3 linked regions of the Pelodiscus sinensis genome follow. The protein of the gene in region 3 interacts with the protein of the main gene of each other region in a biochemical or structural test. Links are inferred from orthologs where the notes say so. Each region holds a gene or a part of one and is shown on either strand. Other genes may lie near its edges.

Region 1 (3,745 bases), on a different chromosome or scaffold from region 3:
GACCCCTCATAGCCCCCCCTTCCGATAGTCTGTCATATCTGATAATCCGGCACCCCCTAGGTCCTAAAGGTGTCGGATTATCGGAAGTTTACTGTAATTTCCCCTAACATCCAACCTAGACCTCCCTTCATTGCAACTTGATAGAACAAAGAGCTTCTTCTATGGACTCATCTAATAGCCTGTCTCCATCCTCTTTGGAACCCTCCTCCACTTCAGTAGTTGAAGGCTATCAAATTTCCCCTCATTCTTCTCTTCTGCAGTCTAAATAAACTCAGGTCCCTCCACTTCTCCTCATAAGTCACGTGCCCTAGCCTCCTAATCATTTTTGTTACCCTTCCCTGGACTCTCTACAATTTGTCCACATCTTTTCTGTATCGTGTGTGTGCATGTGAGAGAACAGGATACAGAACTCCAGATGTGGCCTCCCCAGTGCCAAACGGAGGGGAATAATCACTTCTTGATCTGCTAGCAACGATCCTGCTAAGGATGTCGATGTGTACTCAAGTACACTGTTTACCAATATGCCTGGGCTCACTGGTTAGCCCACAGTTACACCCTTTCCCCCCCACCTCCGCTGTCTCTATCAGAGGCAGTGGAGGGGGAGGGATGGGAGATGGGAGTCGGTGTGTGTGCAGAGCTGGCTTTTAAGCTGGCTTACTGCAAGCACCAGCTCTCGAAGAGTCGTCTGCCCCCCTGTACTGCTGCCTCTAATACAGAGGCAGCAGCACGGGGTGGGGAGGGGGCAGGCAGGAGCCAGTACGCGGGGGGAGCCAACTTTTAAGCTGGATCCCTGTGAGCACTGGCTCCCTTCCCCACCTTCACCTCTGCGGGAGGCAGTAGTGGGAGGATCAGACAGATCCTTGGGAGCTGGCATGTGCGTGGAGCTGGCTTAAAAGTGACCTTAATAGGTAGCAGATGGCATAGTCTCACTAAATTTGTCTCTTTCATACCACGGAAACAAAACAAGGGAACAATAATATTACAACCTAAGTCATATGTCCAGAGTATAATTTAATTTAATGGACTGCAGTTGCCAACCCACAGCCTCTACACCTAGTCACACCTTCTCAATTTCCTCAGCCTCATTATAACAGAGGCTAGGATGGTCCTCAGCAGACACCTCAACCCTTGGCACAGGCCAGTCCCAGCCCACCCTCTTCCAAGTTGCAACTCCCACCTCTCATCCCATAGCACTGGCCAGCCCTGGCTCCCCTACCGCCACCCCAGACTAGCTAAGTTTCCCTTTATGTTGTGTAGCCAGATGGCCATGCAGCTGCCTACGAAGCCTTGTGGAGAGGCTCAGGACCACCACACAGAGTGCTGCCTCTGCCTGCTGGCCCCAGCACAATCCTGGAGTAGCTAGGACAAAAGCCCCTATCCTCACCAGTTCTAACACAGAGCTTCTGCAGAAGAGATACCAAGCCAGCTCTATGCCAGAGCCTGCAAGGAGGGGTCGAGCTCCCCTGACCACAGCAGTTCTATTTTGGGGCCTTTAAGGCACACCACTCCCTTGGCAACAGTGTCCATCCCACTCTGTTGGGGAATCAGGTGTCCCTTCCCAGATCCCAACCCAGAGCCTGGAACTCCCCCAGTTAGGGGACAGGTGTCCCTGCCCTCGCTGTGCCAGCTGGAGCTGCAACAGCCCTGGAGAGACACCTCTCGCCTGGACTCAGGCCGCTGCGGTGAGAGGGCTGAAAGTCTCCTCTCTCCCGAGAAGCCTGCGCCCTGAAACTCTCCTGCCCAGCCCCACTCCAGAGCCCACACGCCCAGCCAGTCTTCACCCCACATCCCCACCCTCCGCCCAGCACTCAGGCCCCTCTCACACCCACCCCGAGCCACACGCTGTCCGGCTGCGGATCGACTTCTGCTGCGATACAGCAGCTATGGGATTGGTGGATGTAACGGGAGTCACTCCCCACACGGACACCGCAGCCCGGCTTGGCCCGACCCCCTGCCCCGAGCCGAACCCCCCAACTGGCCAGCCCAGGCCCCTGTCCAGACACCCCCTCACAGGCCTCACCTGCCCCTCGCCCAAGAAATCGAGCTTCTCGTAGCGCTTCGCTCGCATCCTCGCGTCCATCACCAGCCGAGAAGAGGAACCGGACCGAGGGGATTTAAAACCGTCACTGCTTGAGCGCCGCTACTTCCGGCCCCCACGCGGAACCCCGCCCCGTTTCCGAGCTTCCGGCGCATGCGCCGTCCCAGCGGCTGCAATGAGGTGTTCTCGCGGCGCCAGCGTCCCGCTCTAGCAACAGTCACTAAGTAGCCCGCGTTTCTCGGCGGTCTTAGGTTCCGGCCCTCTCGGAGTCCGCCCCGGGTCAGACACCGGCCGCGAGCGGGGCAGGACGGGTCGCGCGGGGTCTTACTGAGCATGGCGGGGTGACCAGGGCACTGGACCATTGCGGCCCGTTGAGCAGCTCCGGGCGGGGAGCTTGCCTGAAGCCAGCCGAGCACGCATACAGCCCGGCCTCACCAGGCTCGCCGCTAGGGACGGGGGCGGTTCCCATAACGAGAGGCAGGGACACCAGCTTTGGGAAAAGGGGCGCTCGAGCCTGAATTCAACTCTCCCCGCCCCCTCGGACACTCACCAACACCTTCCCCTCTACCAGGTTGCCACTGAGACACAGCTGCAGGCCTCCCCTTTAATTTGTAGAGGTGTGAGCTCCTTTAAAAGTGCACTTCAGCGATATGGGCTGGGGGTGATAGGCATGGATCACAGTTGACAAGTCACAACCTCTTGCTCAAGCCTAGGTGGAGCCAAACCATTCCTGAAGAGTACTGCTATAAGATTATTCAACAGCAGAGGAGGTTAGAGGAATAAAATATTCAAAGTGATTTTTTTTGTTTTGCTTTATTGTCAGAATTTAGGAGTATGGTGGTCTAAAAGGCAGAATCCCATCACTTCATTATCTGGTTTTTTTAAAAAGCTCTCATCAAGCTCAGTATAACAGCACTTTATGATTAATATTCCAGCTCTCAAGTGGAATCATTTTCAGGAAAATTTGGACAGAGTATACTCCTTCGAGTTACTTTCATCCATGTTTCACATCCTGGCTACGACCTCCTACCAGTGCTAGTGGAATGTGCACTTGATTTAACAAGCCAGTTTATTAGAACTATACAATTAACTCTTGCAAGAAACTGCTCTTTTTATTGCATGCTCTGCATTTCAGCATGGTATTATCCCTTCTATGCAACCATTCAATTATACTGGAAGTAGCAGCCAACCTCCAGTTAGAACTGGTCATATTGACACATTAAATACACTTAAACATTATTTTAAAGCACTAATCCAGAAAAGCTCAGTGTGTGGATATACTTATTCTGGCCTAAGTGTTGAGAAGGGGAAGCTGTTCAAATTTCCTCAGGTAGACAAGAATTGAATTAAACTCTTTTATTCATCCATGTGTAAGTAATGCACAGTAATCATATGAACAAATTAATCTTTGTTTAATATACTCTTCAGTATGTTTTGGCATCCCCATTTTGTACTTTGGGAAAAGAACGGTTTGTGTTCCAGAGCTCATGACTAGTAATCAGGAGATCTGGTTTCTATATTTTTTGTTCTGACAGAAAAACTGGATTCTATGTTCCTTGTTCTGACAAACTTCCATGACCTTGAGCAAATCATTCATCCTTTGTGTGCTTCAACTCCCCTGTTCAGACAATTATTTCCAGATTTCCCCTTCCCCACCTTCCACGCAGAACCAAATCTTTACCTTGCTTTAAGTTATATGAGGAAGCT
Region 2 (3,745 bases), on a different chromosome or scaffold from region 3:
GGGCGGCTGGTTATACAAGGACCCCTCGCCCAGCATGGAGATGCAGCCACCTCGGGGATGGAGCGGCTGGTTACACAAGGACCCCTCGCTCAGCGCAGAAATGCAGACACCTCTGGAATGGGGCAGCTGGTTACATAGGGACCCCACATGCAATGCTGAAATGCAGCTATGTCTAGGGCAGGACACAGGACAACATCAAGGGCACTTCTCAGTAGGAAATGCATTATCTTTTGACCAGGCTGCTGGATCAGTCTCTAGTTTCGGGGACCACAGCAGATGGCACTTGGAAAAGCTTGTCAGTCACCCTGCTCTGCAGACCAAGCGCCCAGACAGAACAGACACGCAGGAAGCAGACAACTCAAGTCCCTGTGGGGCACTGCACCTGGACACCTGGCTCCACAACTCACCTGGGGGCGGATTCTCAGGGATGGCGGGCTGAGTGCCTTCGATGCTGAGCCAGTGAGCTGAAAGGGAGCGGAGAGAAGGATCAGGGGCAAGCAGCACTGCAGGCTGGGTGCTGCACCTCCCGTTCCTTGCCCCCACATAATCCTTTGCTCTCCATGCCCCCTCATCCCTGTCTGCCCCATGTTGCCCCCACCTTTGAGGCACACGTCCAGCGGGACACGGGGCAGTGGCGTGTTGATGATGTCGCTCAGATCCACTTCTTTCTCTTCATAGAAGTAGAGCTCGCGCCCGCCCCCACTGGCATAGCGGAAGGGGATGAACTCCTGGGCATGAAAGCCATACAGCGGCTGTGGGGAGAGGGACATAGAGGGTGAGCTGGAGTCCCCATGTCAGAGCCTTCCCTTGGCTCAGCTCCATGGCTCTACCTGCCTTTCGGCACAGCCCCCGTGCTATACATGCCTGGCTCCCAACAGTAAATACAGCCTGGCTCTGTGGCTCTACCTGCCTTTTGGCATGTCCCTTGTGCAATACACACCTGCTGCACCAGGGAGAGGAGCACCATTTTGTCCTTGGGAAAACATATACCTATGCTGGAAATTGTCTCCCTGAATGTTACATGCGCCCTACCATAGTGACCGGCAGGGGGAACCTCCCCCCCCCAAAGCTCAGGGGAGTCTCTGTTCTAGGAATTCAGGCCTTGAAATCCATGAAAAGCCCCTCTGCACTTCAGAACTGTCCTCCCCTCCCCAGCACCAAGCACATGGCCTTACTCAGATGGCCCCCAAGCCCACAGGACTCCAATGCCAGCCAAGAGCCTGCCCCACAAGCTCCTCGGGGCTGGGACTGCCCCTTTTACCTCCACGTTCTTCAGTTTCAAGGCATAGTCCACGTCGCTGGTGGTCAGCTTCCGACGCTTGCCCATGTGCATGAACTTCAGAGCATCCTGCAGGCAAATGGGAAGTGAGGGTTGTCTCACCCCTCTCTGCTCCAAGGACCCTCAGGCAACCAAGGGCAGGAGCAGAGCAACTGGGAGGTGGAGGCATTGGGTGCATGAGGTTCTCCTCGGGCCAGAAACTGGATGGGAGGGTCTTGGGACAGCTGGGGGCCCTGTATACCCGTGTGATTTCCATAACCCACCAACTGCTCAGGACAATGTCCGGGGGCCCACAGCTGGGTGATCTTCCAAAGACAGGGAAGTGAGGCAATGCTAGGGGCAGAGAGTGCCTGTGGGACCCCCTGCCCATACATGGGCAATCTGCTGGAGCCGAGAGGATGTGGCAATGCCAGGGAAGGAAGGGGAGATGCCGTGGACAGAGGAAGATTAATAAGACTGGGGCATGTCACCTTACAAAAGAGGAGACTAAAGAGGGATATGATGGACGTGTATAAAATCACAACCAGTGTGGACAAAGTAAATAAGGGAAATTATTTACTTGTTCCCATAGCACAAGAACTAGGGGTCATCAAATGAAATCAATTGTTAGCAGAATTAAAGCAAACCAAAGGAAGTAGTTTGTCACACAGCCAACCTGTGGAACTCCTTGATGGAGGATGTTGTGAAGACCAGGATTTTAACTGGGTTCAAAAGAGAGCTAGATACGTTCACGGGGGTTCTGTCCATTAATAGCTATTAGCCAGGATGGGTGGGAGTGGCTATCCTAGTCTGTCAGAGGCTGGGAATGGGCAGCGGGGAGGGATCCCTGTTCCGGTCACTCCCCTCTGCCGAGGACGGGGTGCCCGTACCTGGGTGATCTCCTTGACGCGGTAGCTGACCTCGTCGGCCAGCAGCTGGCAGGTCTCCTCGGGCACCTGGGCGATGCCCACGGCCTCTGCCATCACCTTCATGGACTCGGCCGGCAGCAGCGTGTGGCTCAGCTTCGCCTTCTTCTCCTCGGCCGCCATCGCGCCCCGCCGCACCTGCGGGGAGGGGGGTGAGACACGGGCCGGGGCGGCGGAACCTCCCGCCACTGCGCGGCCCGGACCCCAAGGGCCCCATCCCCCACCTGGCTGGCCCCGCCCCTTTCCCTAGCCCCTCCCCTAACTCCCGCCCCCCACCGTGCCGGCGCCCCTCCCTCTCCCGGCAGCTGCACGCCCGCGCTGCGGCGCAACCTCCTCGCCCCCGCTACATTCCCCCACCGATCCCGGTGCCGCGCTACACCCCTGCCAGGACCCGAGCACCTCCGAGGGGCGGGGCCAGCCCTGGAGACCGGCAGGCGGGCAGGGACGCACTGCGCAGGCGCGGGATGGGGCGCGGGAGGAGGACAGTGCCTGTGTGCGTGGTGCCTCACAGCTAGGACGGCGCCTGCGTGCCGCGCATGGATTCCTTTCTACCAAGCATGTGCAACATGGCCAAGTGCGGAAAACATGCGCGCTAGCGCCCCAGCCTTTGGTTGATGACGCGCATGAGCAGTCCAGATCCCTTTTTTTTTAGAGGCACGCCACATCCCCACGCATGCGTCGCTCTCCCGCTTGCTGCGCTCTGCGAGGCGCCTACTGCTCATGCTTCATCCCCTCCCTCCCCTTCCCCCCTTAAAGGGCCACCGCGGCTATTAGCAGCCTTAGCCTAGGACTGGTGCGGGGCTACGCGGCTCCCCCTGCTGGGGCTGCAGCTGAGGAGGAGGAAAGGCGAGCCACCCCCTGCGAAGGTAATGGGGGCGCGTCTCTTAAAGGGGCCATGGCCTGTGTGGGGAGGTGAGTGGAACTGCTAGGGACTGGGGTTCAGGCCAGCTGTGCTTTGCAAGCTAAGATGGGGAAGGGAGCCATGGTCTCCTGAGATATCCACGTGGTCTGTATGGGGCTGAAAGAACCAGGCCAGAGGTGGGGACACAGCCTCAGTGTAGAAATGGCAGCCGTCACTAGCAGATCCATATGGGCTATATAGGAACTGGGGGTGGGGGACAGGGCATGGGGCATTGCATGGGCAGCTGCTAACCACCTGGCAGTATGTAAGTACCTCGGAGGTGCTGGAACTGGGGCAATCAGAAGAGGCACATCAAATACAATATGTTGTAAGTGTAGGTGCTAGGGTCCGGGATTCCTGGGTTCTCTCCCTGATTCTAGGAGGGAAATGGGGCCGGGGAGCATTGAAGGGGAGGAGTTGGTGTCCTGAACACCTGGGTTCTCCAAGCCCTTTGCATGTCATAGGTTGCATGGCACATGCCCAAAAACCCAGTTTCCTTTTCCCCACAAACTCTAGAATTTCTCTTTGACCAACTTCCAAAAGCAAATCTTCCCTTTGATAATGAAAGGCTGAAAATTTCCATCCACAAACCTTTAGCTTATTGTTTTTAGACCAAACCAGGACAAATTCTCCCTTTGCACAAACCCTTGCAGATTTGGG
Region 3 (3,745 bases):
TGCCAATCTAGACGCAGTTTTGCGCAAGAAAGCCCCAACTGCCATTTTTGCGATCGGGGCTTTTTTGTGCAAAACAATACTGCATTATCTACACTAGCCCTCTTGCGCAAAAGCATTTGCACAAGAGGGCTTTTGCCTGAATGGAAGCAGCACAGTATTTCCGCAAGAACACTGACAATCTTACATGAGATAGTCAGTGTTCTTGCGGAAATTCAAGCGGCCAGTGTAGACAGCTGGCAAGTTTTTCCGCAAAAGCAGAGAACTAGTTAGTTGAAGTGGGATAGGAATAAGTATCCCAAGAAAGGTGGGAGGGTAAGTCCTGTCATTTGGTATCCGAGGTAGGCATTTTTTCAGCAGCTGCAAACTCATGTCTCATCTGCACTCTGGCTATGTCTACACTGGTGGGTTCTTGCACCAGAAATATGCAAATGAGGCTAAGCTTGGAATATCGCCAAGCCTCATCTATATAGCTAATGAGCCGCCATTTTTGCAGAAGAGGCTCTTGCACCAGAAGGAGCATGTACACTGCCCCTTCTTGCTCAAGAAAAACCCTCTTGTGCAATGCTGTTATTCCTGAAAATAATCAGCGTAGAGGCATTACACAAGAGGGTTTTTCTTGCGCAAGGGGCCGTGTAGCCTCATTTGCATATTTCTGGCACAAGAACCCGCCAGCGTAGACATAGCCTATGAGTGTTGCCAGAAGAGGCACTGCAAATGAAGTGCAGATTTGCATTTTCTTGCACTGCATTTGCATACGCTCTTCTGATCAGTTTTTGCACAAAAACCAGCAGTGTGGAGATTTCCTTTTTGTGCAAGAACCCCTTTTTGCGCAAGATTGGTTACACCTTTTTTGAGGCATTAGGATTTTTTGAGGCAAAAAGGGGGTTTTGCGCAAAATGGAAGCAGCTATGCTGCTTCTTTTTGCACAAAAACAACAGACAGAAAATATGCTAACGACAACCTGAGTCATATTAATGAACCCCTCATTAGTATATTTTCTGCAGCAAAAGCTTACAGTGTAGACAGCCTCTATCACTCACCACCTCTTGGTCTCATATGAGACCACCTATTTACTCACCACCTCAGTCTCTTATGGCATTCCTTCCACCTATTGGCTACGTCTACACTGGCATGATTTTCCAAAAATGCTTTTAACGGAAAAGTTTTCCGTTGAAAGCATTTTCGGAAAAGCACGTCTAGATTGGCAGGACGCTTTTCCGCAAAAGCCATTTTCGCGATCGGGGCTTCTTTGCGGAAAACAGTCCTGTGCTGTCTACACCGGCCCTTTTGCGCAAAAAGTCTTTCGGAAAAAGACTTTTGCCCGAACGGGAGCAGCATAGTATTTCCGGAAAAGCACTGACGATCTTACATGAGATCGTCAGCGCTTTTCCAGAAATTCAAGCAGCCAGAGTAGACAGCTGGCAAGTTTTTCCAGAAAAGCGGCTGATTTTCCGGAAACACTTGCCAGTCTCTTAGACACAGCCATTGTGTGTGTTGTTTCTGATGGTTCCCCCTCCCACTGTATTAGCTGTGCTTTTCCTAAACTTAATCTCCAAATCTATTATAGCAGCCTGCCTAAATCCCCCTTCTATAATTCCTCTAACCTAACCATGTATTTCCTTGCACCCCATTACTTTTCCCAAAATCTCCTTTTGAATATTCTTTATTCTTAAGGCAAAACGCCTGAGTTCTGGACCTGGAACTACCCAGCAAGCTGGCTAGCAGAACAAGGTGTAAGCAGCGACTAGGAAAGCAGAAAGATGAGGGAAGAAAGCGATCCGTCTCTCACGCTGAATAGTCAGGAGCTGGCGGGGGGGGGGTGGGGGAGCCTGATGCCAGGCAGAGGTCCCCCGCCAGCAGACGCTTCTCAGGACCAGCCTCTGGACCTGAGAAGGAGCATCAATGGGGCCCAAAGGGAGGCGCTCGGGGTTGCGAGGACGCTGGCCCGAAGCGCGCTGCCCCGAGGGGCGCACGGCCGGCTTCGCACAACGCACGTGGCGCGTCTCGCGGGGCTGCCCCGGCGCCGTTTAACTCCCCCCGCGCGCCTCGGTCCGGCTGCAACAGCCAGAGAACGTGGCTTACTTCGGGCGGGGGGGCGGGGGGGGAGCGAACCGCCGCTGCCTGGCCCTGGAAACGGGGGGTAAGATTTCACTGCGAGTCGCCCCGGCTGCAGCGCACGGAAAGCGGCGGCGGCGGCAGCACCAGCAACCGCCCCCCGCGCCAGAGCACGGGACTGACCTGCCTGCCGGCCGCTCCGGACTGGCTCCGTCTCCGGGCGGCGCTTTCGGCAACTGCGTCACGGCGCGTCATACGCAGCGCTCGTCGCACACCAGCCCGGCAGCAGCGCACCTTTGTGACGCACACACGAGGCACCCCCACCCTCGCCACGGCGCGAGCCTGTTGGGTCCAACCCAGTTGGGGATAGGAGGCGGCGACGCTCCCCAATCTCCGGCTGCGATGAGCATTGACAGGAAGGCGCACCAATTGTTCTCTGAAGAGCTCACTAGGCCCCGCCTCGATCCACATTTGCCAATCAAAAGCGAAGACGGCAACATAGAGGCTTGCGGAAGTGAGGGGACAGCCAATGGGATGAGTGAGTGGTCCGAGGGGGCGGTGCCGGGAGACTGTTGCTAGGCAGGGTAAGATGGCTGCGTTAGACAGGGTCAAGGTGCTGGTGCTGGGGGACTCAGGTGAGTGAGGGGTTTCCCGCTTCACCCCACCTCCGCACAGGGGCAGTCCCGCCTGGTGCCTTGCAACGGGAGCGAGTGTCCCAGCAAATCCCCGCCCCTTCTCCCCCTCCGCCCCCCGACGTCGCTAACGACATCCGGCTCGAGCTTGCGCAGTGGTGCAAGTCAAAGCTGCTGTCTTGGAACGCGGGCCCTGCCACGTGCCCCGGCTCTGACGCGGCTCCCTCCTCCACCCCCCCCACCCCCCCCGTAGGCTGTGGCCCAGCTCTGGCGCGTGGCTCCTCTGAACGTTCCGCCCTTGGGCAAAGCCCGGGCCAGCGCTAGGGCTCCGCTCCGGCAGAAACGGGGGCCTAGGCGCGTGTGGAATGGAAAGGGGGCGGGGGGTGACCGTTGGGCAGGACGGTGCAGACCCCACTGGCCTTCCCTTCCCTAGTGGGTGCCCGCCCTCGTGTTTCCTCGCCCGCCTCCAGCCCCCTCGCTCTCGCCTGCCGCTCCTCTTCAGCCTGAGTCTGCTAAGTCCCCGGGGCCGGGTAGCAAATGGGACCTGCTGTGAGAAACACAACTCTAGTGTCAAAACACCCCGCAGCCCTGTGGGGTACGGCACAGCCCATTGGGGTGTCTGGGCCGGTTTGATGGCGCTTACAAAAAAACTCAAAAATGTTGAGTCAGAGAAGGACAGATATTTCCAGGCAAAAGAAACTCTCATAAGCCAGCAAAAATAACGGGACCAACTGGAGGATGGGGAAGTACAGCAGCCACTGTGGAGTACAAACCGAATGGACGATGCTTTGAATTTTATACTTTTCATAGTCATCCAATTTTTGCTTAAACCTGTGTTCATTGTTTGGCTCTGCACTTTGACTGAAAATCCATTCCACCTGTTAGTCTCGGCCTTGTAAAATTCTGTTTTCTCTTATATTCATGTCCACTTGCTCTGGTCTGTCTGGAAACTTCAAGTAGATTGTTAAACTATGGCCTATATTAACATATGAAATATTCTGAATTATGAGCATGGTGTAAATTCTTAGATGTAAGCTTAATTTTAGAACAAGTCCCAG

Evidence for each region.
Region 1: of the proteins of GTF2E1 (region 3) and CDK7, one has a biochemical effect on the other in vitro, tested with the Homo sapiens proteins (3 studies listed by BioGRID, with this or other methods). The link is inferred for Pelodiscus sinensis from reciprocal best matches to the Homo sapiens genes GTF2E1 and CDK7.
Region 2: the proteins of GTF2E1 (region 3) and TAF6 form a complex in vitro, tested with the Homo sapiens proteins (2 studies listed by BioGRID). The link is inferred for Pelodiscus sinensis from reciprocal best matches to the Homo sapiens genes GTF2E1 and TAF6.

What each region holds. Positions count from the first base shown.
Region 1 is NC_134716.1:88,002,558-88,006,302, forward strand, and holds the start of CDK7 (cyclin-dependent kinase 7), read right to left. Parts: upstream 2,181-3,745; 5' UTR 2,081-2,180; coding exon 2,021-2,080; intron 1-2,020. UniProt on the Homo sapiens protein: Serine/threonine kinase involved in cell cycle control and in RNA polymerase II-mediated RNA transcription. Cyclin-dependent kinases (CDKs) are activated by the binding to a cyclin and mediate the progression through the cell cycle.
Region 2 is NC_134734.1:7,580,412-7,584,156, reverse strand, and holds the start of TAF6 (transcription initiation factor TFIID subunit 6), read right to left. Parts: upstream 2,714-3,745; 5' UTR 2,584-2,713; exon of another isoform or gene 2,542-2,583; intron 2,438-2,541; exon of another isoform or gene 2,323-2,437; 5' UTR 2,308-2,322; coding exon 2,149-2,307; intron 1,349-2,148; coding exon 1,262-1,348; intron 753-1,261; coding exon 599-752; intron 465-598; coding exon 408-464; intron 1-407. UniProt on the Homo sapiens protein: The TFIID basal transcription factor complex plays a major role in the initiation of RNA polymerase II (Pol II)-dependent transcription.
Region 3 is NC_134711.1:142,369,681-142,373,425, forward strand, and holds the start of GTF2E1 (general transcription factor IIE subunit 1), read right to left. Parts: upstream 2,378-3,745; 5' UTR 2,239-2,377; intron 1-2,238. Other genes in the region: RABL3 (rab-like protein 3), read left to right, coding at 2,458-2,593.